Linked DNA regions of Coturnix japonica. The protein of the gene in region 1 purifies or fractionates together with the protein of each later gene. This does not show direct contact. Links are inferred from orthologs where the notes say so. Each region holds a gene or a part of one and is shown in the gene's direction. Other genes may lie near its edges. The genes, in order: ZNF346 and KRR1.

Region 1 (12,234 bases):
AAGGGAACTTACACCCAGGAAGGGAGTAAACTCTTCAAAAGGGCTGATAATAGCAGGACTAGGGGAAATGGTTTTAAGTTGAAGGAGGGAAGATTTAGGTTGGATGTTAGGGGAAAGTTCTTTACTAGAAGAGTGGTTAGGTCCTGGAACAGGCTGCCCAGTGAGGTTGTGGATGCCCCGTCCTTGGAGGTGTTCAAGGCCAGGTTGGACGGGGCCCTGGGCAACCTGATCTAGTAAAGGTGTATGTTTGGTGGCCCTGCCAGGCAGGGGGTTGGAACTACATGATCCTTGAGGTCCCTTCCAACCCGGGTCATTCTGTGATTCTGTGATTCTGTGATTCTGTGGCTGAGCAAAACCAGCACTGGAAGGATGTGTGCAAGGCAGTGAGCAATGAGCCCCTCATCACACACAGACAGTGCAGGGCTGGAAATGCAGCCCAAGTTGGCCGGCTCCCAGACCAATGTCCTTCCCAGGATCCCTCTGCCTTCCTTCGTGAGCACTGAAATAGCTCAAATGCGCTGCTGAGGTCTAAAATAAGAGGCAGACAAGATGCGACAAAAGACCCCGCGTTACACAACGCACAGCCAAACCCTCTTCTGTAGCACAGCGGAACTGCAAACAGCCGTTACATGTGGAAATGCTGCAAGCACAAAGTTCAGAGCCACATTAGCACTACAGAACAGGGGTGCACCCCCTCCTACAGCCAGCAGCACTGGGTCCAGGTTGAACCAAGAGGACGTGCTGCCTCTGAATGACTGCAGAGCACAGAGCTTCCCTTGCCTGTCTCCTCTGCACACATTGGTGTGGAGACAAAAGATGATGATTCGGTGAGCAAGGATTTACGCTGAAGACTTGCTGAGCCCTCTAAAGACAGAACATTGCACAAACTGCACGCACAGCTCCAGAAGCGGCTGCAATCATCACTGCAGTCTCAAAACACTTGTCTATTTGGGATGGGAAAATTAAAACAAGAGCTGCTCTATAGAGAAGCTCTTGCAAAACAAAGCTGTTCTGCTCCAGCTGAGCTGAACCTTGGCTGTTGCTGGAACACCATAGTTATACTTGCTCTGCTTTTTATCTTTAGCTCCAACTGGTCTCTTTGCCCTCTGTCCAGAGAGATGAACCTCGATGCCCACCTGGTATAATAGAACTGCACCCCGTTATCAGCAGGACACACAGGGGTTTCAGTTCTGAGCCTGGGCAGGGTCGCTGCTTTGGAGATGTCAGTAGCAAAACACAGCAGCCAGCAACAAGGAACTGCAAAGCGTTTGTGTTTGAGTCCTGTTCAAATCCATGCTGCTATCACCAGCTCTCCCCTCCGCTCGATGCGCTGCGCTAAATAAGAGATCAGCTGGAGTTACCATGAGTCACCTACCTCCAACATTTAAAACTGGGGGGGGGAGAGGAAAGAAGATGTAAAAGATGTAACCACACAACTCCCACAACGCTGCCGAAAACGAGGGGAGCTGTGGCAAAGAGCCTCTGTGTGAATGTAACTAAGGGAACGAGACGAGGAGAGATCACTTGTAGCTGCGCGGGGCTGTGAGTAGGAGCAGTAACAGCTTTTATTAGCCCAGCTGATAGAGCTGAAGAAAACAAGCAGCAGAGCAGATAACAAACAAGCAGATAAGGAAGCTGTGCATAGGAGCCGCATTTTGCTTTCAGCACTTCTGCAAAGGACCAGGCTGCTTTCAGGTCCAGTGAAACAAAGCCTGAATTGGCCAAACCCACCTTTTGCCTCCCATATTTTCCCATATTTTCCAGCTTTGAGATCCAAGCTTTGAGTTTGCAAACGCTCTGGCAGTGAAGGTGACCCCCTGACAATGGCCGTTCCCCAGGCCCATGTTTAGGGATATCCTTGAAGATCCCCAGCTCGTGCTTATTTGTCATGTCCCCCCTCGTCCATCACTTTGATGAATCAGAAAGCAATTACCCACAGAATCATCCTCAATCCTGACACCGCAGCTCCAGACCTGCCAGAGCTGCGACAGCTTGAAAAATGCTTCAAAAACGGAGCCAACAAATGAATGACTCTCATTGCCGATGGGTTTTTTGGAGCCGTTTGAGATTCAGGCTGGAGTGTGGGAAACAACCACCCCCCATTTCCCCCCATTCACAGGGATGGACACGGTGCTGCCCCTCCCCCCCCCCCCCCCCCCCCCCCCCCACCGGGGGGGGCCCCCCCCCCCCCCCCCCCCCCCCCCCCCCCCCCCATATATACACACAGGGACACACAGCGGACGGGCAGCACGGGGCGGTGCGGGGCCAACAGCCGGGCCGGGCCCCGCCGGTACCGCCCCAGGGCTGAGGCCTATAGGGCTGACCGCAAGGGAAAAGGCCCCGCGGGACACGGCCGGGCCCGGGACCTGCTGGGATCTACCGGGATCCACCGGGATCTACCGGGATCTACCGGGACCCCGCACGCCGCCCCCATCCCATCCCATCCCACCCATTGCCGCCCCGCACCGCGGGTCTCTTACCCGCACTCAACTTGGCGGAGAAGGCCTCATTGCCCTCAATCAAGATGGCGGCGTCGGCGTCGCGTCACGTGGGAGGCAGGAAGGCGTGGCCGTGCGATGCGGGTGGCGCCATGTCGTGTGCGGGCGGCGCGGCCTAAAGGAGCGGGGGAGCGGAGCTGAGGCCTCCATTGGAGCCCCTCGGGTACAGCCGGGATGGATGGCTTATTTACTGCTTGAGTTCACACGGTGCAATAACATAACGGTGTCCACTAATTGAGTTGCGGTCTTCCAGCCTTGAATCAGCAGCCGTTCAAGTCCCCCCTCCCTGCTTGCAGCGATCCCGGCGACAAATGGCGGCGCCGCACAGCCCCCTACGCTGCCCTCAACAAACATGGCCGCCGCCGCTTCGCCCCACCAACACGTGCTGCACACGGCGCTCCCGCGGGAAGCCGCTCTCGCGAGAGCGACCGGGGCGGCCAAGATGGCGGACGGGGCGGGTAGCAACGGGGACGCCGCGGCGCTGCCGGTGGGGAAGGAGGCAGGTGAGGGACACGGGGCGGGGAGCGGAACCGAGGCGGCACCGGGGGAGGATGGGGCTGAGATCGGTGTGTGCTGTGTTGTTTGTGTTGTGTTGGCAGTGGAGCGGCTGATACGGGAGAACGGGCACATCTTCACCGAGGCGCAGTGCAAGGTGTGCAGCGCGCTGCTCATCTCCGAGTCACAGCGACTGGCGCATTACCAGGTGAGGGGGGGAACGGGGGGTATTAATGGGTAACAATGGGTATCTATGGGTATCAATAGGTAGCAATGGGTATTAATGGGTAACGATGGGTAACGGGGGGCAGCAATGGTATCAGTGGGCATCAATGTGTAGCAATGGGTATCAGTGGGTATTAATGGGTAGCAATGGGTATCAGTGAGTAGCAATGGGTATCAGTGAGTAGCAATGGGTATCAGTGGGTAGCAATGCATAACAATGGGTAGCAATAGGAATCAATGGGTAGCAGTGGGTATCAATGGGTAGCAATAGGTTTCAATGGGTATCTATGAGTAGCAATGGGTAGCAATGGGTATCAATTAGTAGCAGTGGGTAGCAATGGGTATCAATGGGTAGCAATAGGTTGCAATAGGTAGCAATGGGTAACGCTGTGGCTGCCCGCAGAGCAAGAAACACGCCAACAAGGTGCGGAGGTATCTCTCCATCCACGGCGAAGAGGAGCTGGCACCTGGGAAGAAGATGAAGCTGGACGCCAAGGTGAGAGGGGAGCCTGTGCTGTGTGGGTGTGGGCTCCAAGAACAGCTTTTGGGAAGGGCTCTGTGGTTAAGCCCTGTTGGTGAGTACGGCTCCTGTTGCCTTTCCCTCCTAAAGAACCACATGCTGCTTCTTTCTGAAGGGCCCTCCAAGAAGAGCAGAGAAGCAAGGAGCTGTCAGTGTTATCACAGCATGTATAACGTTTTGTTTCACTGACAGCATATCACAGGGTTCCTGCTTCACCACACTTCTCTTTAAGTCATGGGTTGTTGGGTTTTTTTTTTTGCACTTTTTTTAGTTTTATTTCATCTTCTTGGTCATTAAGGGGTTTATTCACCAGCCGTCTGCTCCATGACTCGTTTGGGAAATAGATTCTACTTCTGTCATTGCTTTGGTTGTAGTCCCTGACCCTCATAGATTTGTTGCATGGATGGAAGGGAGATGAAGGAGGTTGCCTTCATGCATTGTGAGGCCTAGCAGTGACTGCCACTGTCTGCCCAGCTGGCGTTTCTTTGCTGATGGCCCAGCTGATAGCGCTGTTTGTGCTCCTTCACTCACACCTTAGGGAGCAGGGGGCAGATTGGTTCATGCTGCCCTGCAGTTAGCCTTGTTCTGGGCTCAGAACCTGTAGTGTTTCACTAAAAGACTGAGGAAAAGAGAATCTGAAGTGGGAACACTTCTGCTGAAGGAGCGGAATGGAAGTCTTATTCAAACAACTTCACATTCAGCATCTCTGATGATTCAGTTCCTTGAATGCCTTAGAGTTCCTCGTTGTAACAAACTTTTCCTAACCTCAGCCGTTCTGTGTGCACAGGAGAGCAAGCAGGAAGGCACCAATGGGGAGGACAGGAACAAGTGTTGTCCCATCTGTAACATGACCTTTTCTTCTCCTGCTGTGGCCACATCTCACTACCTGGGGAAGACTCATGCCAAGAACTTGAAGCAACAGTCCCCTAAAGTGGAAGGTGTGTCTGTCCTGCAGTGCCTTTGTGTTGTGAAGCTCAAAGTAGGAAAATGCTGCACGTAATTACTTTCCATTGGGAGGTGCTATTGGACATATGTCATCCTTGTTACATCTGTGTGGTGTTGGCTGTGAAGCAGGGAAAGCCAGCAGCCTGCCTCCAGATCCATGGCCTTTATCAACAACGTGCTTGGTAGAATGGCTTGGCTAAATGCTCCTGCATGCAAGAAATGGGACAGAGCCCATTGCTGTGAGATTAATTTGTCAGGCCTGCTCAGCTACAGGGTTGTAGCTTCTGTGGTTCGGCGACTTCTGAGCTGCAAACAGCCGGAGGCTGGGAAGTGGGACTGTGTGCTTGCCCTGACCTCGTGCTTTGCCTCCGCTTTCTGCCACGGCCCATTCTCAAGGCAGGGTCTGGCTGTGAGGAGCCTTCAAGAAGGGAGGCTGCACACATAGTTCTGCTGTCTGCTGCTGCCCTGTGAGAGGAGCCTGCAGGTGTTTAGCTCCTCTCTGCTGTTTGTGCCCCCTGCTGGGAGTTGTCTTACCTTGTGCCTTCCAGTTCTGGAGCAATAAGGGAGGAGGTTGGAGCAACACGGATTTATCCAGAGGTCTTACATCCTCTGACTGGGTTTCTTTTTGGGGCTGTTTTATGGTTTTGGGGTTGAGTTGGGTTGGTTTCTTTGGTTGTTTAATGCATGTTTGGGGGAAATAAAATTACCTTTTTTCGTTTTTTTGTTTTTTGGGTTTTTTTTCTATTTAACTGACCAAGAGTTTGGATTCATCCTACAGAAGTGGTGCCCCCACAGAAACATCCCGCTACCCTCCCCACCTCTACTGTATCCTCTAATGAAGAGAACAAGGACATTACAGACCCAGACAAGTTCTGTAGCCTCTGCCACGCTACTTTCAACAACCCCCTTATGGCAAAACAACATTATGTAGGTAAGAAACACAGAAAGCAAGAAACCAAACACAAGCTGATGGCACGCTATGGCCGAACTCCTGACGCACCGACATCGTCCTTCCTCGGTGAGTTCACAGCAGACAGGTTGGTAAGGAGCTGGAGAGCAGGGTGGGAGAGCAGCACTGTGCATCTGACAGGACTCTGAATGAGGGGTTCTGTGTGGAGGGAGTAGGGGAGAATTGCTTGTCATGAGGATCTTGATGATGTCTCACAAGACTGATCTGGTTGGTATTGTAATGCCTTGGCAGCAGGAGAGGTTTTTAGACTGTAGCTGCTCGTGAGGAGCTTTGAGTTGTGTTTTGCAATGTTGTCTCATCAAGTACGTGTCCTTTTTATTCTCTGTGAAGATAATCCAGGGATTTTGGCCAGTGCTGTTTCCAGCTAGGTGGATTGCATCCAAAATGGAAAGATAAAAGTGGCATTTGATGCTTCAAAAATGTCTAAGGGACTAGGCAAAGATGGAAGAAATAGGTTTAACTGCACCTGCTGCTTCAAAGCACATGAAAGCCAGAGAGATTTCTCCCCGAATGCTTTCTGCCTCTGTGTGGGCACTTCATCTGATGCAACTCTCTCTGGAGCAAGCAGGAATGTGGAAAAAATTGAGCTATTAAGGAGGAACTTTAGGCAGACAGTTAACACTCATTTGGTTTATGATCTGTTCCTTTTGAGTACTTCTGTATGATGAAAGCCCTTGGAGTCCAGTGAAAGCACACACAGTGAACTCCCTTGTTCTTTCCAGCATCCTTCTGTTGGACCAGGAATTGTGTAGTACCCTGCTGGATGCTTGAAGTAAATAAGCAGACAAATCATCTTAAAATCTTCTTCAAGGGCTTCTTTCCCTGTCATAACTATGCCCATAAGCAGAAGATTAATTATTCTAATACTTTGCGGGCCACCTTTAGCTACTGGTAACACTTAAGAGAAATTAAACTCAATTATCCCAGCAATATTCTCTCCCACATTGTGTAGTCATGTGGGAGATGGAAAAGGTGATTCAAATCTTGTGTTACCCATCAGCTTTTACCTAATTAGCGGGGCCTGATCAGTGGTTCCGTTTTGTTGTGACTCAGGCTGTGGAGCCCCAGCCCAGGCTGGGAAAGTGGGCAGTGCTGTTGCCGTGTGATCGATGTGTTCTGTGCAGTGCTTACAGAGCTGGAGTATCTCCATCCACAGCTCTGTGGTGTTTAAGCTGTTCCAGGTGAGGCTGCAGAGCTGTGACATAGTGTGGAGCTGTTCTGGTGAGACAGGCTGCACTCAGGGGTGTATTTCCCTGCTCGCTTTGCTTGTCTCTCTGTGCTGACAGCCATGCCAAGCTGGCATGCCAGCACAGTTCTTCCCAGCCCAAGCTTCTTGTTTTCTCTTACTAAACTGGGCTTGAATTCTGATATATACTTTCATAAAGGCTCTGATCTCTAAACACACCATCCCTGTTGGGATCTGACCCTCAGCAGATGAAGTGTCATTCACAGCAGAGCCAAGATGCCTTTCTGCTTAAAGTTCCTCTATGAGTCTACTGTGTAGGGTGCAGGAGTGTGCCGTAAAGGACTGTGCTTCTCACTCAGTGCTTATGCTGCTCTGCACCCCTAGAGTGAGTGTCCCCTTTTCCCTTAAGGAAGTGTTTACTTTGTGAGACTCCCAGGCAGAGCCCTTCCCCAGGGAGCCGGAACCGAGGGGCATGTAGTGTCACAGGGATGTATGCCAAGACTTTCCCATTACGGGCTGCTGTGGCCAGCTCTGCTGCTTTGCTTGCTTGTTTGCTATCTATGACCCCCAGAACTTTCATTCCAGCAGTATCACTGTTGTGATACACAGAAGCACCAGTCTGCATCCTGCAGCTATTGCTGGAGACTTGCTTTTTTTTTGCAGTTAATTTGAACACTGACTGTAACTGAAGGGCTCAAGGGACAGAGTTTAATGCTCCCAATTGGCACCCTCAGCAAGGCTTAGCAGAGCGCTGCGCTGTGGAATTTGACATTCTGTATCATCTCCTTTGGCTGCTTCTTTTTTCCCCTCTTTTCTTTTTTTTTTTCTTAATTGAAACATCAAATTTACAAACGTATTATCTCCCTTGATTTGTTGTGAGGAGATGCACAGAGTGGGAGAAGTGGGACTTGGGGAGAAAAGTGGAGTTACAGAGACATTAGAACGTCAGGTTTGCTGTTCTAATTGCTAAGTTTTCACCTCATCTGATATTGTGAACTGCTTACAGGAAATGGGTGTTTGTTTTTGTAGATAACAAACCCACGTTCTGATCAGGAAAGGTTTTCTGGCCCTGTTTCCCACATACCACTAACCCAGCTCTGGTGGGATATGGGATCCCGTGACCTCCCTGCCTGGTCAGGCTATTCATTTGCTACTTGCTTTGTTGAGCAGTTGTTTAACACATCAAGTGATTGATTATCTCACTTGTTTCTACCTCAGGCACCAAGTTGTTGGCTAGCTGTGCTGTGTGTGTTAACATTGATGTCTGTTTCAGCTGGGAAGGGCTACCCCTGCAACACATGTAACATAGTACTGAACTCCATAGAGCAGTACCAAGCTCACATCAGTGGCTTCAAGCACAAGAATCAGTAAGTAACTGTATTGTTTAACTGTATCTCCAGCCTTGCTGTTCAAACTGTTTTCAATATAGCTTTAATACAGTATTGCATGTGTATTTCAAGCTGACCCTCGCAAGCAGAACAATGTGCTTTGTGCAAGCTTGTACTGTTTGCTCTGAAGCCAATTAACCAGTGTAGGTTTGCGCCCTCTCAGCCTCTTCAGCAGCTCCATCTGCAGACAGCTCAAGGATGCTGCTGTAGCAGAAGTGCCTTTCAACTGCTTTTGTGTCTTAGAGGTTCAGGTCAGCGTGGACCTCTGCAGCGAGCACGTCCATCCTGATTCTTGTTAAACAACACTTCTGTAAGAACCAGGATGTGAGCAGAAGCAAAGTGTGATGTAGTGGAGGTCCACTTGTCATTCTGGTCTCCCTTGGATCTGCTTGTTGTAAAATGTGGCACATAGTCACCACGCTCCAGAAACCTAGACTGTATTTCTGAACTCACTCTCACATCTGGTGAGTTAAACAGGAGAATCCCCTGCACGTATCGTTCGTCTTCTGCCAGGGAAATGATTAACACTGAATGTACTTACTCTGGACGCTGGCAAAGTTCAGATCTCTGATTTCAAAGCGTTACATTAAGGAGGGTTGGTAACTGACCCGGGGTGGTGAGACAGCTTAGAAGCTGGTTAGTGGGTTAGAAGAAAGAGGTATTAGGAGATACTGCCTGAAATGGTGACTGAATTTCCCAGACAGACCAAAAGGAAAACTGGAATCTTGCATTGTGTACCTGTGGAATTACAGCCCTGTTGCACTCCTGAGTATTTGCTGGGAGGGCATAAGCCCTATCTGTCTCTTTGTGAAGGCCAACTCTCAAACAGCACGGCAGGGTCAGTGGATGGCAGACATTGAGCCTGAATTTATCCCGTTCTAGAAAGATAACACTGAAGGCATTCCCAGCACACATGCGTAACTGTTCACTTTAAGGCCATGGATGTTGTTCCAGCTTTTTCAGCCAAATAATTCCCTTTCAGAAAGCTGCTTCTGGATTTAGCTGCTAAGTCCTGTTCCAGACCAGCTTCTGCAGTCTGAAAGGAGCCAGGATACTTGCTTTGTAGTGGAAGCTCTTCACGGTCCTTGAGCTAAGCAATAGCTAATTCTGCCATACTAAAGGTGTCTGTTTACACACACACACACAGAGGATAAGAATCCACTTGGAAGCTTTTCTGGCAAGTTGTTGACTTATCTATAGCAGCCTGTTACTCTGCTGGCAGCCGTGTTTTCTGAGCACTGATTGCAGCTGACAGATTTCAGAGCCATTCTGACACTGTTTCTCTTCCTCTTTCTCCCTCCCATGTCCAGGATGCCGGGAGCGGTGCCGGTTGTGGGACCATTCCCACCACAGCAGTATGTCCGGGAAGAAACAACTGCTCCAGGAGGCTACAGTTACTTCAGCCAAGACTTCTAGAGCGAGTTGCAGCACCGTTCTTGGAGTTGTTGGTGGCCCAAGAACACACATCCTTTGCCAGCCCACAATGGTTTCATTATCCCTCTGGATAAGCAAAGCCCTACTCTCCTGTATGCACTCGTTGAGCAGAACAGGGACTGAATCTGTCCAAAAAAGGATCCAGCTGAAAGAGACTTGGTAGACAGCAAATACTTCACTCCCTTAGAGTAGTTTTCATTGTGTAATTGCTTCCTGTAAAGGTGGGTGCAGTGTGAGAGGTGTGTATCTGGTGTAAGGAGAGTCTGGCAACAGGCTGGTAACATCTACCTCCTCCCTCACCAGAGCAAATAGTGGATTTCTGCACCTGGAGGCCAGCAGCCCGTGCTTAGAGGTGTCTTTAGCTGGAGGAGATCTCCTAATCCATAGCAAGCAGCATTTATGCAGTGTGAATGGGACGCCGTGTGGGTTGCCTGGCTTTTTACAGAACTAACATAGGAAATGGCAGCATGGCACCTCTTGTGGTGATTCCCCTGGGCAGGTTTGTGTGCAGAATTCCTTGAGCCGCTGGTTGCTGTCAGAGCCTTTCTCAGTGCTGCAGTTGAGGAGCTGTGTCGTTTGGTGTCTAACAAGTAGTCGTGGTTTTATGGTGTACATACAGTGCTGCTGGTGGGAGCGTTGGGCTGATGGAGGACTTGGAGCTCGTGGCTCTCCAGGCAGCTCAGCCCTTCACTCTGAGCATTGCCACGTGGGAGGAAGAAACAGTTTAGCCTGGTTTCCTATGGAAACAGGTGTATGTGATCATTCACTGTGTGTGTCTTTACCCTTCATAACTTCAACCAGTCTCAGCCAAACTTGGCAGTGGTGGAAATCTCCGAGACCTGAATGCAGTCAGCAGAGGAAGGTGAGCAGGAAGGGTCCATCTCGGGTTCTGTCAGTCTGTGTGTAAGTGCAGCGTTTTCCCTCCTGCCAGCAAAATGCTGATAGAGGAGGAGAGTTTTAAAGGGAAACAAGAATAGAGATGAGTTTAGAAATAACAGGATAGTGCAGTGTAGGTTGGTTGAATTGTTTGCTGGCTGGAAACCTCCAAGTCTTACTTAGTCCTTCATTAGGCACTACTTGCCCAACCCCTCTCCTCAAAGTTCTTACACATTTGTACCATCACGGAGATGTTCTGTCTTTCAAAACCAGAAATTAAGACAGATGGTCTCTTCGTGGTGTTAATGCACTGGGTCTGTTCAAAGAGCTCCCAGAAGGAAGGGGGGGATCTGAGGCTGTTGTGCATTTAGGAGGAGTCCTTCAGATGTTCCGCCCTTGAGCGAGGGCAGTGCTGTTCTTTGCTGGGCCACCGCAGGGGCCGTGTTGTCGGGCTGGCCTTGTGCTCAGCGCCACTGCTCCATGTTGGGCACCACATGGCTTTGTCCCTGTCCCAGCTGTGGAGCTGGAGGACGAGGACCTGCCTGGCTGACAGGAGTGGAGGTGATGGACGTGCAGAGCAGAGCTGCTGCCTCCCACTGCTGCAGCAGCTGCTGGAGGGCACTGTGGGGCCCTGCACTGCCGGTGCTGCGTTCCAGGCTGAGCAGCTGCCGCCTTTGCGAGGCTGAGAGCCAGGCTGGGGGGGCACCTCCAAAACCCTGCGGGTGCTGATCAGGTTAAGCAATGGGAGAGAGCTGGTTGCTGATCTCTGCACTTGGAGTGAGTGCCTTCCTCCCCCTACCCCCAGCTCAAGGTTGTGCACAAGCTTTGTTTGCCTTCACCCTGTACAGGATCTGCCATCTCCCCTTAGGACAGGCTACTGCTGGGCTGGGTTCGCCTTTCTGATGTTTTCCAGTCTTGTTCTACGTCTGAGGGCTGACCTCAGCCTCCTGCTTGAGAGGGAGTCCTGTTAAACCAAGCGAGCTGATCAACCAGCAGAAAATTGCAGTGAAGTAAAGGCAGCATTGTGTGCCTGGTGCTGCTGGATGGCCTCCAGCTCCCATCTCCACTGCTTCGCTCTCGTCTCGCTGCACGAGGGCAGGTGTCTGCTAGATGTGCATTGACACCAGGAGGGATCCATTTCCAGCACTGCCCAGTCTGGTGTGTCACTCCACTGTGTACCGACAGTTCTGCCTTCCTCTGTACATGATGTTTATGTATCTGCTGTTTCCCTAAGGTGAAGCTCTCCGAATAGAGTGTTTATTACTACTTCTGGGTGCTGCCTCTTTACTACAGCCATTCCTGGGTTTCTGCCATCCTTCAAAGCAAAGCAGAGAGGATACGGACCCCTCTGACTTGTTTGGGAGGGATGGGAGGTTTGTGTTCCCATCTGCTCTCCCCGGGCACCCTGAGATCCGGACGGAGCCGCCAAGTGCCTTCACTGTGCTCCTCTGCCACATCTGCGTGGCCTGGGGCGCACAACGTCACCAAGGGGAAGGCAGGACAGTCTGCACCCACAGAGCGCTGGCACTTCTATGTGCTGTTGTGCTGCTTGTGCTGAAAACATCCATCACAGCCACGGGGCAATGGACCATTTCCTGGCAGCGTGGGAGCAGAGCGATGGTGCACAGCCACTGCTCTGTCTGCACCACGCCTCACTGGGGCAGGATGTGCTCCCAGCACAGCCTAGATGGTACCCA
Region 2 (12,316 bases), on another chromosome or scaffold:
TGAACAACTGTCAGATGTTCAGCACTAGTGGCCTTCACCGCTCCAAGGCACAGGCTTTGAGAGCTCCTCTCAGTCACTTCCAGTTCTGTCTGACTGAGAACACAGGGCAGGGGGGAGAGGGGAAGGAAGAGACTGTGCCTGTCAATGGGATTCCAGCTGGTTTGTATATAAAGTCTTTCCAGGACACCCAAAATGCCTCATTCACCAGTCAGACGTCACATTTGAAACAAAACAGACTGTTTGGTTGACATGACAGCCCCGCTGAGGTACGTGATAATGGCGTCCCTTGTCTGCTGAGACCAATGCGCGAGCTCCCCATGCACCAGCAGCCAAGAGGCCCTGGACAGGCTCCGTGGTGGGCAAATGCAATGCTAGGCCTCTGCCCTAGACAGCCAAGGCCTGGAGAATACACTGGCATAGCTTCCTGGCACAGACCATCATTTTTATGTTGCTTTTGGGTAAACTTCAATGACTCATCTTGTATTCACGCTCATCTACAGTCGGCTTTTTTATTCTTCCTTCTAATGTTCCGATTTGCCAAGCTGCAAGTGGTTTGTTTAACAATGTGCAATGCCTGGAGAACAGATGGCCTCTTTTCTTCCTGCCGGTGGCATGCAAAAACCAAATTTTATCATTCAAACTTGGGTCTGCGATATTTCATCTCAAATGGTTGTTTTAACAACTACTTCACCACCCACCAGCTCCATTGTGTTTCCTTCCACATCGGATATGACTTTACAACAAACCTAGTGTCCCGTGCAGCAGCTGTGCAGTGCACAAGCTCATATCAAACCACTATCCTGTACAAATCCATACTTGGAGAAAGCTCGGCACCTAAAATCTTTACTTTGGTAAGGGAAGGGGAAAGCTTAAAGTGCTCTGAAAGAAGTCCTGGCATCACCTCCCAGTGCCCCACATTTGTCTCTGGGGCAGTTCCTGCTGCCCCGCACTCCACATCTTGTGTCCCTGCCTGTGTCCCCCAGGCTCCAGATGGTCGCTGTGGATCTGGGTCAGGGGAACGTGCTGTGAAATCTGCTGTGGGTGGAAGGATACACATGTACTAAATGACTTCATAGATTCATAAGGGGCTTGATGCTTATTTATGAGACAAAGCTTGCTAAATTCTGGGGTTTGAAACCGGCTGCTAATATTTAGTGAAAAACAATAACCATGTGGGATTTAGCGAGTCACAGGGCAGGTTATGAACAGAGGTTTTGTTTGACAGTTCTCAGATGCTACTTTGATAAATCTCAGGGGACTTTCCCACTGGTTACCTCAGGGGTAAATGCAGCAAACACAAAGTTTCATATGAGATTTTATGGGCTGTAGCCTTCAGCATACTGAGTTCCCTCTGAGTCTCATGAATGTGAACCAAGGACAAGCTGTGCTGCTGAATCACTGCTTTTATGGTGAGAGAGCTCCCCGTGGACACAAGGCTGGTGGGGACACTACTGCAGCTCAGGATTTCAGGCACACAGAGACTGGAAGAATGGAGATATGGTAGCGAGGATCCTCTGGGCTTGATCCCCTGCCTGCAGCATAGGATACAGGCTTATAGCAGCTTCAAGGGTACCTGCAGCCACATGCAACACATTCACTGACACATACATTTAAACAGAGCAAGAACTGAGGTCTTGCTTTCTGACACAGAAAGCATGAGTGTTTCAGGGTGACTGTCATGGTGTCCTTGGGTCAGAAAAGCTGCACCATGCTATGCCCCTAGTCTGCCTGGTGCCATCGACAGAGGTGAGCTCACCCATGGAGCCTGACAGCTCAGGCTCTGCATCTCAGAACTAATTCATCTGTGCTTCTGCTGACACCTTCTGATTATGCTGCTATCCCAGTAAAATAAAGGATGTGCCGCAATCAGTTTCCCACCCCCTACTTCATTGCAGATACGAGACAAAAAATATATTGCTAATTAAAATGTTCTTATCAGCTGGAAAGCAGTTTGTAGGATTGATTTCAATAAAACTGATGATGCAGCCTACTCAGATCACTGGGAAATGACCTCCTTATTATAAAGTCCCAGAATAACACAGCGAAGCAATCTTGATTTCCTGAAATCTATCAAAGGAAGAACTTTGCAGTTAGTTACAGCTTATAATATGGATACTCCTGAAATGTCCTCTGCTTAATGAACAGCTGATATTGGCTAACCTCGTGGAAATAAGAGAGAATTAGTACCAGCTGCAAAATGCATTCACTGGATAGTGAAACTGGCAGTTGGTATTATGCCTGCTATAAATATTTTTAATTAAAAATTGTTTTCTGTCTCTTCAATTGGTATAATAGCGATGATGCTTACTGAGAGTTACTGAAGATGTAATAGGATTCCCCTTCGTGTATAGCGGAGCTATTTATTCTGCTGTAATTTTGCTATAGTGGAAATCTGCATAATAATGCTTGGATACTAGTACAAGAGAAAAATAGACCGAGGGAGTATTTTATCAGCACAGTTCAGAATAACACACACCGGCACTACTGTGCATTCCTAAAAATCCGCAATGCTCAAAGCCTGGCTGCTCAGGTACAATGTGAATATTATTTTAATCACATATTTTGGAGGGATTCAGGAATGTATTTCCTGACCACTCTCAGCTGCACACTCTCTGTATGTATCTCAGGTCCTGGCACAGTTTCTGTTGTGTGTTGTTTGCTTTCTGACAACCCCCAGACGCTCAAGTCAAGAAAAAAGCCCCGTCCCGTCCATCACTGTACGATGCATGATTAGACACATCCCCTGCTCCAAAGACCTTTTGATTTAAGCCTGCTGCTTTGATTTCATAATGACACTGAGTTCCTTTTCCCATTTGGCTCCATCCCTTTCTTAGTGACAGCAGTTTTATTGCGGCAAGGCTTTCCCCAGACAAAGCTGTCATCCTTTCTGTCTGTTGCTTTTTTCTTCTTATTCTGGGCTCTTCCTTCTGCCTCAAATTATCTTTGCTATGGTTTTCCAGTGAATCCTTTCAGATGATCTCATGATTCATGGTCCTCTCTTGTTCCAGCTCCTTGTTCCTCTTTAGGGTAAGCATGTGCTTGCCTTTCTGCTCTCTTTCAAAGGGGAGCCCTCAGTCTCCTAGAGTCAGCTGAGCTGAATTTAAATGGTTGCCTTTAACCATTTAACCTCTTTCCTTACCTCTCCATGCCTAGCCTTGGAAGTACTACATCTGAAAACTCTGCTCTTGAATCAGTGATACACCTCTCATTTCTCATAAAATCTCCCCCCTGGCTTTTCAGCCTTGCACTATTAGTAGATAGCTGATGGTGTGAGTGCTTGCTCTTTTTTCTCCTTTAACCCAACTAGCAGGAAGGTTTGCAGTTATATCTCCATCCTGAACCTGTGGCAAGGTATGGATTTGCTACCTGGTGAAAAGAGAGCCCAGAACTGAGAATTTGTTTATGACCCTGTGATGATACACTAAGTCTCATTCTCTCTTCAGAAAGTTGTGTTTTCCTCCTACTTCCTGCTTGCCACCTGTGACAACCTCCCCCTCCTCAGGCTCCCTGCAGTTGGCAGCAGCACCACACCAGCATTGTTTGCATTGGGTACCGTTACTTTTATCTGTCAGCACCTCTGCAGATTGCTGCACTCAGCAGTGAAGTCAAGAATAAAACAGAACCAGAAAAGTGCTACACCTCTGCTAGAGAGAGAAATGAAGAGGAAAGAGAAATCAAGAGCAAAGCCATGTCAGCCTTGGTCGTGTTAGGAGGACGGGGCTTTTTTGGAGGTAGCTGGGCAGAGGAGCTCTCTGCTTGGTTATTTTTATTCTGTCAGGCTGCCTCTGAGTGTTGGGTCAGTTGGTGCCATAACTTTACTTAAATAATGGAGGACTTTTATATGAACATGAGAAGGCCAACACATTCTCAACCATTTTTTATCCAGTTTGAATTATATTTTGATCACTTGAGGTGTTTTGCATGAGAGACTCTCACTTGCCCATGTGGCTGTTTCCTGACCTGCCATAAATGAAAAGAATTAAGAATATCCTGAGCTAAGACAGATTTGAGATACAATTCTCCAGTTATTTGAATCAAAAGGCAGTATCGATTATTTAATTACATAGAAAAGATGCAGGTGCTGAGCATTTACTACAGATTAATGACTGCCCCAGAGCAGTTAATGGTTCTTCTCACTGCCATCAACACAAGCTGCTTATTAATCCCTGGAAAATGGCTTGCATAACAATCATAACCTGCTGTTAAAAGTTTATAAATAGATAAAAGTGTCACATGGATTTACGAGTGCTGGGGCTGAATGGGATCTGCACAGCATTTCTAGTGAATGAATGCCATGTGCATGAGCTCATCTGATTGCCTGAATTATCACAAAATCCCAAGTTGCTCTTTTGGATTTGAAAATGGCACGTAAGAAAGTGCCAAGTGGCTGGAGTCCTATCTACTGACTGGGAAATAATTACTTTGCTGCATAATAGAGGCACCTTCAGCCTAACGGCAGCACTCTGCCCATTTTATCATACAGCCTGAAGTGCATTCAGGGGAAGCTGTGTGACTGTGCTGTTTCATTGTCTGCTTTGCTTCTAACAGGGAAGCAGTGAGCGCACATAGACACACACACAGAGTTGGTTTGGGTTCCACCAGGGCCCAGCAACTGGATCAGCAGATGTAGGGGTCTTGGAGGCTGTGTTATTATTATTATTATTATTAGGATCTGTGTTATTCAGCCAAAAGACTTCAAAGGAGCCTTCTGCACACAGGTCTGCCATCACACAAAGGGAATGTGATACATGTTCCTTACTGTAGGGAAGCTGCTTCAGCAGAGCCTTGGACTTGATAATCTCTAGAGGTAGGATCCAATCCCTACAGTTCTGTGAGATTAGTTCTCCTGCTTTAAGAAAACACGTTGCCCCATCACAGTCTGGTACAGCACTGCTGGATCTCCCTGCAGCAACCTCCATCTCCCTGTACCCTCAGCAGTCCCCAGCCCCAGACAGCTGTCCCACCTCCCAGTCTGTCACTGCCAGACATGCTGGGGCTGGCCATTGCATCTGAGCAGTGTCTGACAAAAGTGATATAAATCTGTCATCGTCTGAACCCAAGTGGGCTGACTGGAGGAGGACAAGGGTCTATGGGAGCACCTGGTCTGTGACAGGAATTAGGGAGGCGGCTTCCTTGTATTCAGCTCCTCTGCAAAACCTGAGATAAGAGGAAAGCTGAGAAGTCACTGTCTCCACCAGGAGCAGGATGGATGACATGAGGGGCCTTCCCGAGTCACATCATCCAAGTCTGATGGTGTTGTCTCTTCATTTGAGACTAGATTTTCTTCCCTGTACCGTGATATACTTTCATCCTCACATTGCATGTGGGCTGATCTCACCTGGAGATAAAATAAGGAAAATATCTTGTCTGCATCTTAATATTCCTGTACGCAAAATAGCTCAGTAGTCACGTTCATGGGTTTCAGTCTGGTTTTGAAAGGAATTGGAGACCCTGTGGATGGAAGTGGGCATAGATGGGTCAATGATTGGACTGGGTGATATTAGTAGTTTTTTTCCAACCTTAATGCTTCTACAATTCCATGAGCAGGAGTAGAGGGGTTGGATCTATGGTTGGGCTTGATGGTCTTTGAGGTCTTTTCCAACCTTCACGATTCTCTGGTTCTATGATTCTATGAGGGCGGTGTAGTGAATGCCAAGTGCTCTATCAACACAGGATCATAAACTCCCTGTTTAGTGCTCATGGTTGCAGGGGAGCCAGTTGCAATATCAGAGCCTTTCTGCCATGCACGTATGCTCTTTCCAAACAGTTTTGTTGCACTTAATTATGGCATAATTAAAGCAGAACAACAGCGCCATTTCCTTGGAGACAGACGTCCCTGGAGCGTGCCTGCAATGTGGAGAAGATCCAGGTGCATCTCACCAGACACTTCTGAGCCGCACTCTGTCCGCTCTCATTGCCAGGGCAGCGCAGGGGGATCCATTGCTCCTCGGGCACCGAGGCTCGCTGGGGCTGCTCCTTTTGTCGCGGCGGTCAGTGCCACCCAGCGGGTAAAGGCAGCAGTGCAGCACAATGGAAGGTCTTTGGGTGTCAATACTGAGTTTTGGATATTTTACACATGTGTATAGTGGATACTAGGGAGAGCTGTTGGAGGGGGTCCAGAGGAGGGCAGCGAAGATGATCAAAGGGCTGGAGCATCTCTTATGAAGAAATGTTGTGGGAGTTGGGCTTGTTCAGCCTGAAGAAAAGGCTCCGGGGAGACCTCATTGCAGATTGCCAGTATTTGAAGGGAGCTTAAAAGCTGAAGGAGGACCGAATTTTTACAGTTTGATAGTGATAGGAAAAGGAGAATAGCTTGAAACTAAAAGAGGGAAAAATGAATGTGGATATTACAAGGAATTAATTGCAAGGACAGAACTAGAGGGAATGGTTTTAAGCTGCGCTGTTGGAATTGGATGACCTTTATGGTCACTTCCAACTTAAGGCATTCAGTGATTCTATGATGATCACACAGAATCACAGAATAACCCGGGTTGGAAGGGACCTCAAGGATCATGTAGTTCCAACCCCCCTGCCTGGCAGGGCCACCAAACATACACCTTTACTAGATCAGGTTGCCCAGGGCCCTGATAATTAAACAACTCACAGGGCGGGCTTTTATGAGCAGGTCTGATGATAAACCCGCCTCCATAAGCCTGGCACCGCTCTCTAGGCTGCCCCAGGGGCTCGCAAACCCCCATAGGCCTCAGCCTTGGTCTCGCCCTGTCAGCCTGTAGGACTCCAGCTCCCGGCATGCCGCGATGCCCCGGTTCCGCTTCCGGTGTCGGGCGGAAGTTGTGTGAGCACAGTAAGCATGGCGGCTCCTGAGGCGGAGGGGGAGAAAGCGCGGCGTCCCGGCAAGAAGAAAGCGGCCAAAGGTGGGTGCGGGGCCTCGGGGCTGCTGCCCGCCGGGATTATCCTTCTCTTGTGCTGAGGGAAAGGCAGTAACTTCCGTAAGGAAAGCAAATGGGATCCTGGGCTCCATCAGGAGAGGGGTGGTCAGCAGGGATAGGGAGGTGATTGTCCCTCTCTACTCTGCTCTTGTGAGGCCCCATCTGTTGTACTGTGTCCAGGTGTGGAGCCCTCAGTACAAAAAAGACATGGAGATTTTGGAAAGGGTCCAGAGGAGGGACAGGAAGATGATCAGGGGGCTGGAGCACCTCCCCTATGAGGACAGGCTGAGGGAGTTGGGTTTGTTCAGCCTTGAGAAGAGAAGGTTGCGGGGTGACCTCATTGCAGCCTTTCAATACCTGAAGGGAACTTACTCCCAGGAGGGGAGTAAACTCTTCGAAAGGGCTGATAATAGCAGGACTAGGGGAAATGGTTTTAAGTTAAAAGAGGGAAGATTTAGGTTGGATGTTAGGGGGAAGTTCTTCACTAGGAGAGTGGTTAGGTCCTGGAACAGGCTGCCCAGGGAGGTTGTGGATGCCCCGTCCTTGGAGGTGTTCAAGACCAGGTTGGACGGGGCCCTGGGCAACCTGATCTAGTAAAGGTGTATGTTTGGTGGCCCTGCCAGGCAGGGGGGTTGGAACTACATGATCCTTGAGGTCCCTTCCAACCTGGGTCATTCTGTGATTCTGTAAGGAGAGATGCAGAATGACTCCAACAGAGCGTTGAACGCAGCACCTGCTGTGTGCCTGCGTTCTGTTATCTCTAGTTCTGTATTTAGATGGGGAGCAGATGGAATAGCTCAGATGGAGAAACGAACTGTCGTCTTTTAATCCATAGCAGTCGATGAGTCCGAACTGCTCACTGTGCCGGATGGATGGAAGGAACCAGCGTTTACCAGGGAGGACAATCCCAGAGGGCTGCTGGAGGAAAGCAGCTTTGCAACGTTATTCCCCAAGTACAGAGAAGCCTATTTGAAGGAGTGCTGGCCGCTTGTCCAGAAGGCCCTGAGTGAGCATGTATGAGTTCTTACTGTTGTGATGTGCTGCTCTGTTATTTGGGACATACAGGTGTTACTTTGGCATAAAAGCTTGCTCCAGTAACAGGTGTTGGAAAGAGTCCAGCGGAGGGCCACTAAGATGGTGAAGGGCCTGGAGCATCTCCCCTATGAGGAGAGACTTATGGAACTGGGTCTGTTTAGCCTTGAAAAAAGAAGGCTGAGAGGGGACTTGATCCAGGTTTATAAATACCTGAGGTGTGGGAGCCATAGTGGTGAGGCTGGTCTCTTTTCAGTAGTGTGTGGGGACAGGACTAGGGGTAATGGGATGAAAGTACAGCATAGGAAGTTCCGCACAAATGTGCACAAGAACTTCTTTACAGTGAGGATGACGGAGCACTGGAACAGGCTGCCCTGGGAGGTGGTGGAATCTCCTTCTCTGGAGATATTCAAGACCCACCTGGACACCTACCTGTGTGACGTGGTGTAGGGATCCTGCTTTGGCAGGGGGGTTGGACTCGATGATCTCTAGAGGTCCCTTCCAACCCCTACAGTTCTGTGATTCTGTGATTCTTTCTGTGTTGTTGTCCACAATCTGCTAACTTGAAAGGAGATGAGGAGATTTCATCTTAACCTCATGCTACCAGAAATGTAATCTTAGATTTCTAATTAAAGATTGCTTTGCTGTTTATTTGCACACATTGCAGTATGTGAATGCAACGCTGGATCTAATTGAAGGAAGCATGACGGTCACGACTACTAAGAAGACTTTTGATCCGTATGCGATCATCAGGGCTAGAGATTTAATAAAACTTCTGGCAAGAAGCGTTCCATTTGAACAGGTTTGTAGCCAATAATGTTGTAATGCTTATAAAGTTGTATGCTTTCAAAATATGGGTTTTTCAGGTAGTAGTGAAGTGCTGGAACAGGTCACCCAGGGAGGTATGTATCTACTCATCCCAGGAGATTCTTAAGGTCAGGCTGGATGGGGCTCTGAGCAACTTGATCTGCCTGTAGGTGTCTCTGTTCATTGCAAAGAACTGGACTAGATGACCTTTGAAGGTCCCTCCAATTCAAGTGATTCTATAATTATATGAAAATATATATTTAAAACAAACGTATCTGCAACTGAAATGAGTCTTTTGGCTCTTGTGAATGTTACTTTTGGATTCAGATGTTAATACCTGCTGCTTTTATCTTCAGGCAGTTCGTATTCTTCAGGACGATGTTGCGTGTGACATCATTAAAATCGGTTCCCTAGTGAGGAACAGAGAAAGTTTTGTAAAAAGAAGAGGACGACTTCTTGGGCCCAAAGGATCTACTCTGAAGGTATTCCTCATAAGTGTATTACCATAAAAAATCTTAAACACAAGGTCTGCGTGTCAGACCTTCAGCTGACACTATCTTTATTCATTTTTGTTGTTCTAGGCCCTGGAGCTGTTAACCAACTGTTATATTATGGTTCAAGGCAACACTGTTTCAGCTCTTGGACCTTTCAGTGGGCTAAAAGAGGTAAGGGAAGGCAGATGAGCAGTTTATGTAGCTCACTTTTGTGCCTAGCTGTGGCGTGGAGTACAGGCGGAGTCTGGTAGCCTCAAGAGTTACTCCACTGTCCTTTCAGTAACATGTTATTAAGCTACTTTTATGTGAATTCCTATAGGCTTAGCTCCTGAATTTTGTTAGCTGCTGAGATCTTTCCGCCTTGAAACTAAAAGTATTTTTTGTGGTTTTTTTTTTAAGGTAAGGCTTAGTAAAGATATCAAAGGGGCACCTTCATGTATTTCTGAATAGTGTGTCTAGTCCTGCCCCTTGGGCTTTTATTTCTGTAGCTTACAGTGCAGAATTTCTGTAGTTTCAGTTAAGAGGTTTGAGTGAAAACATCGCAGTGTTAATGTGATATAGCATGGATTAACATCTAGTATATTCTTAGTAATTCTAGAGGGAATAATAGATGTCAAAAGCTAAAACACAACATAACATCCATGATGGCATGAAAGTAGTGGTTGTTGTGATGCTGCAGTGTATCAGAAGCATGACAGTATAGCTAACGATATTTTTGAAGCACTGTGCCTTCTAATTGGCTTTGTAGTTTTTTTAGCCTATCTGCTCTTAGTTTTGGGGTGAGAAATGTTCTGATTTTGAAGAAACTTAGGGACCTTGATATTTTAATTGATTAGAGTATGAAGTACCTGCTGAGTGTTCCATTCATTTTCTTTTATTAAATACAGGTTAGGAAGGTTGTTCTGGACACAATGAAGAATATACATCCCATATATAACATTAAGGTTGGTGTGCACCTTTGAAAGCATTAAGTCTTTGTACACAGCTTTATGTTAATAATTCTATGTTTCAGTGTGTGCTATACGAATATATATAAATGTATATGTGTAAACTGTGCTATAAGAACCTTTGATAAAACTTTTAGTTTGGAGCTCTTAGATACTACTGCAATACTATTGTTTTATTAACTTCTTTGTGATGTTCTAAAACTACCAAAGACTTTGATGATCAAACGTGAATTATCAAAAGATCCTGAACTGAGGACACAGAATTGGGAAAGATTTTTGCCTAAGTTCAAGAAGAAGAACTTGAAAAAACGCAAGGAGCCAAAGAAGAAAAATGTTAAGAAGGAGTACACACCATTCCCACCTCCACAGCCAGAAAGCCAGGTCAGCTGAAACTTTATTTGGTTGTGCAGGAGTATATGGTGGTTTTAAATCCTGCTCTCGTTAAGATGAAGTTAACGGGCCCTTTCTGTCATGTTTTTGTTTCCTGATATTATATATCTTGCTTGTAATGTGTAATTGTCTAAAGCTTCTTGGTAATTTTCTTGTATAGATTGATAAAGAATTGGCAAGTGGTGAATACTTCTTGAAAGAAAGCCAGAAGAAACGAAAGCGAGTGGAAGAAATAAAGGTAAATTTGTTACAACCAGTTAAAAAGTGCTTCATTTCTGACTTTGGTTTTTTTCCCTTTTGCCCGGCTCTGTTGGTACTTCATACTTGTCATTGTTAACTGTAGGCAAAGCAAGCTGATGCAGTCAAGAAAAGACAAGAAGAAAGAAATAAAGCTTTTATCCCACCAAAGGAAAAGCCAGCTGTGAAAGCAAAGAAAGGTAAGTTGTTTTTTTTTCCCCCATTCTAAACCCTACTAGTTAATTCTCCACATAATTACTTTGTGTAAGATGTAGCCATTTGAATTCCGTTGAAAGATTTGTGTATCATGCTAGATTAAGTAAAAATGATTGGAATAGTTTATAAAATCATTAGTGAACATAAAATGAATCCTAACTAATGCTACGGGATGCAGTTTAATGTGGATACACATGAAGTAATCTCACAGGCTGTGGAAAAATAAGAGAAGTAAACCTTGTGTCTCTCTGTGCTCGTGTTTTTACTGTGTAGCTTCTACTGAGAAAAAAATTGATATTGAAGCCATCAAGGAGAAAGTAAAGAACGCAAAGAAGAAGAAATTAGGAGCGCTTCCTATGGAAGAAGTCAAGTTAAAAATGGCAGCAGATGAAAAGAAGAAAAAAAGGAAGAAGTAATTCACTGCTCATTCTGCTCAATTTTCTCCTACAATAATGAATGTTCTCACACTTGGAAAAACCAAGACTTGGAGGAAACTTCTTGCTGTCAATGTAGTGTGGATGAGAAATTACTAGGCAGAAAGATGGTTCTCTTTTCACAAGCCCATTTTAACAAATGGACCTGGAGCAGCTATGCAGAATTGTCAAAGTTGGTGAACAAAATCTGCTCTCTCATACCTTTTGAGTACATTTGGATAACACCTGTCTGCTTCGAGGACATTTCATATTAGAAACATTTAGAAGTTTGATGCAGAATGTGAAAGGGTAAAGGTTGGAGAACTCAGTGGGAGTTAAATGGAAATCTTCTATGAAAGACTACCAAAGAACTGTCAAGATGGGCAAGATTTATTACTTTTATTATGCTTTTACTTCTGTAAAAGCAGGGGGTTTTTTGTGTGTCTTGTCTTGATGTCAATAAACTGTTTTAATATATTGTCTTTAAATCCTTTAATTATTCACCTACTGCAAAACCCACATCTTGTATCCCTAGAAGCAACTCACAGCTTCGTGTGAGGATTAGACAACCATAATCTTAATTGAACACCATTAATAAATGGTCATTTATTAGCGTTATCTTGTTAGGCAGAATATGACACAAAGCAAATGTGCTGCAGGGAGAACATAAATGGTACCATTCTTTACATGTGTTCTTAATTTATTTCTTACAAGAAATGAGAACTTAGGTTCCTTTTAAACTTTAGGTTTCCTTTATTCAGCCCCTTCCCCTTTTTTTGAAGGAAGTATAGAGGTTATTTCCTAAAAGTGGAAATTATGATGAAATTGAGTACACTAGAAAAGCAGATGTTACTAAGTTGATGCATCTCAGGTTCGAGAAACAAATGTAA

What was found.
Region 2: the proteins of ZNF346 (region 1) and KRR1 purify together in Homo sapiens (affinity purification with mass spectrometry; 3 studies listed by BioGRID and IntAct, with this or other methods). This does not show direct contact. The link is inferred for Coturnix japonica from reciprocal best matches to the Homo sapiens genes ZNF346 and KRR1.

Annotation. Positions count from the first base shown.
Region 1 is NC_029528.1:12,083,807-12,096,040, reverse strand, and holds ZNF346 (zinc finger protein 346), read left to right. Parts: upstream 1-2,835; 5' UTR 2,836-2,850; coding exon 2,851-3,001; intron 3,002-3,097; coding exon 3,098-3,201; intron 3,202-3,621; coding exon 3,622-3,714; intron 3,715-4,525; coding exon 4,526-4,676; intron 4,677-5,461; coding exon 5,462-5,701; intron 5,702-8,057; exon of another isoform or gene 8,058-8,112; coding exon 8,113-8,206; intron 8,207-9,537; coding exon 9,538-9,643; 3' UTR 9,644-11,803; downstream 11,804-12,234.
Region 2 is NC_029516.1:34,297,354-34,309,669, reverse strand, and holds KRR1 (KRR1 small subunit processome component homolog), read left to right. Parts: upstream 1-6,753; 5' UTR 6,754-6,811; coding exon 6,812-6,875; intron 6,876-7,725; coding exon 7,726-7,904; intron 7,905-8,589; coding exon 8,590-8,724; intron 8,725-9,085; coding exon 9,086-9,211; intron 9,212-9,310; coding exon 9,311-9,394; intron 9,395-10,110; coding exon 10,111-10,167; intron 10,168-10,380; coding exon 10,381-10,551; intron 10,552-10,720; coding exon 10,721-10,798; intron 10,799-10,903; coding exon 10,904-10,997; intron 10,998-11,286; coding exon 11,287-11,429; 3' UTR 11,430-11,904; downstream 11,905-12,316. UniProt on the Homo sapiens protein: Part of the small subunit (SSU) processome, first precursor of the small eukaryotic ribosomal subunit.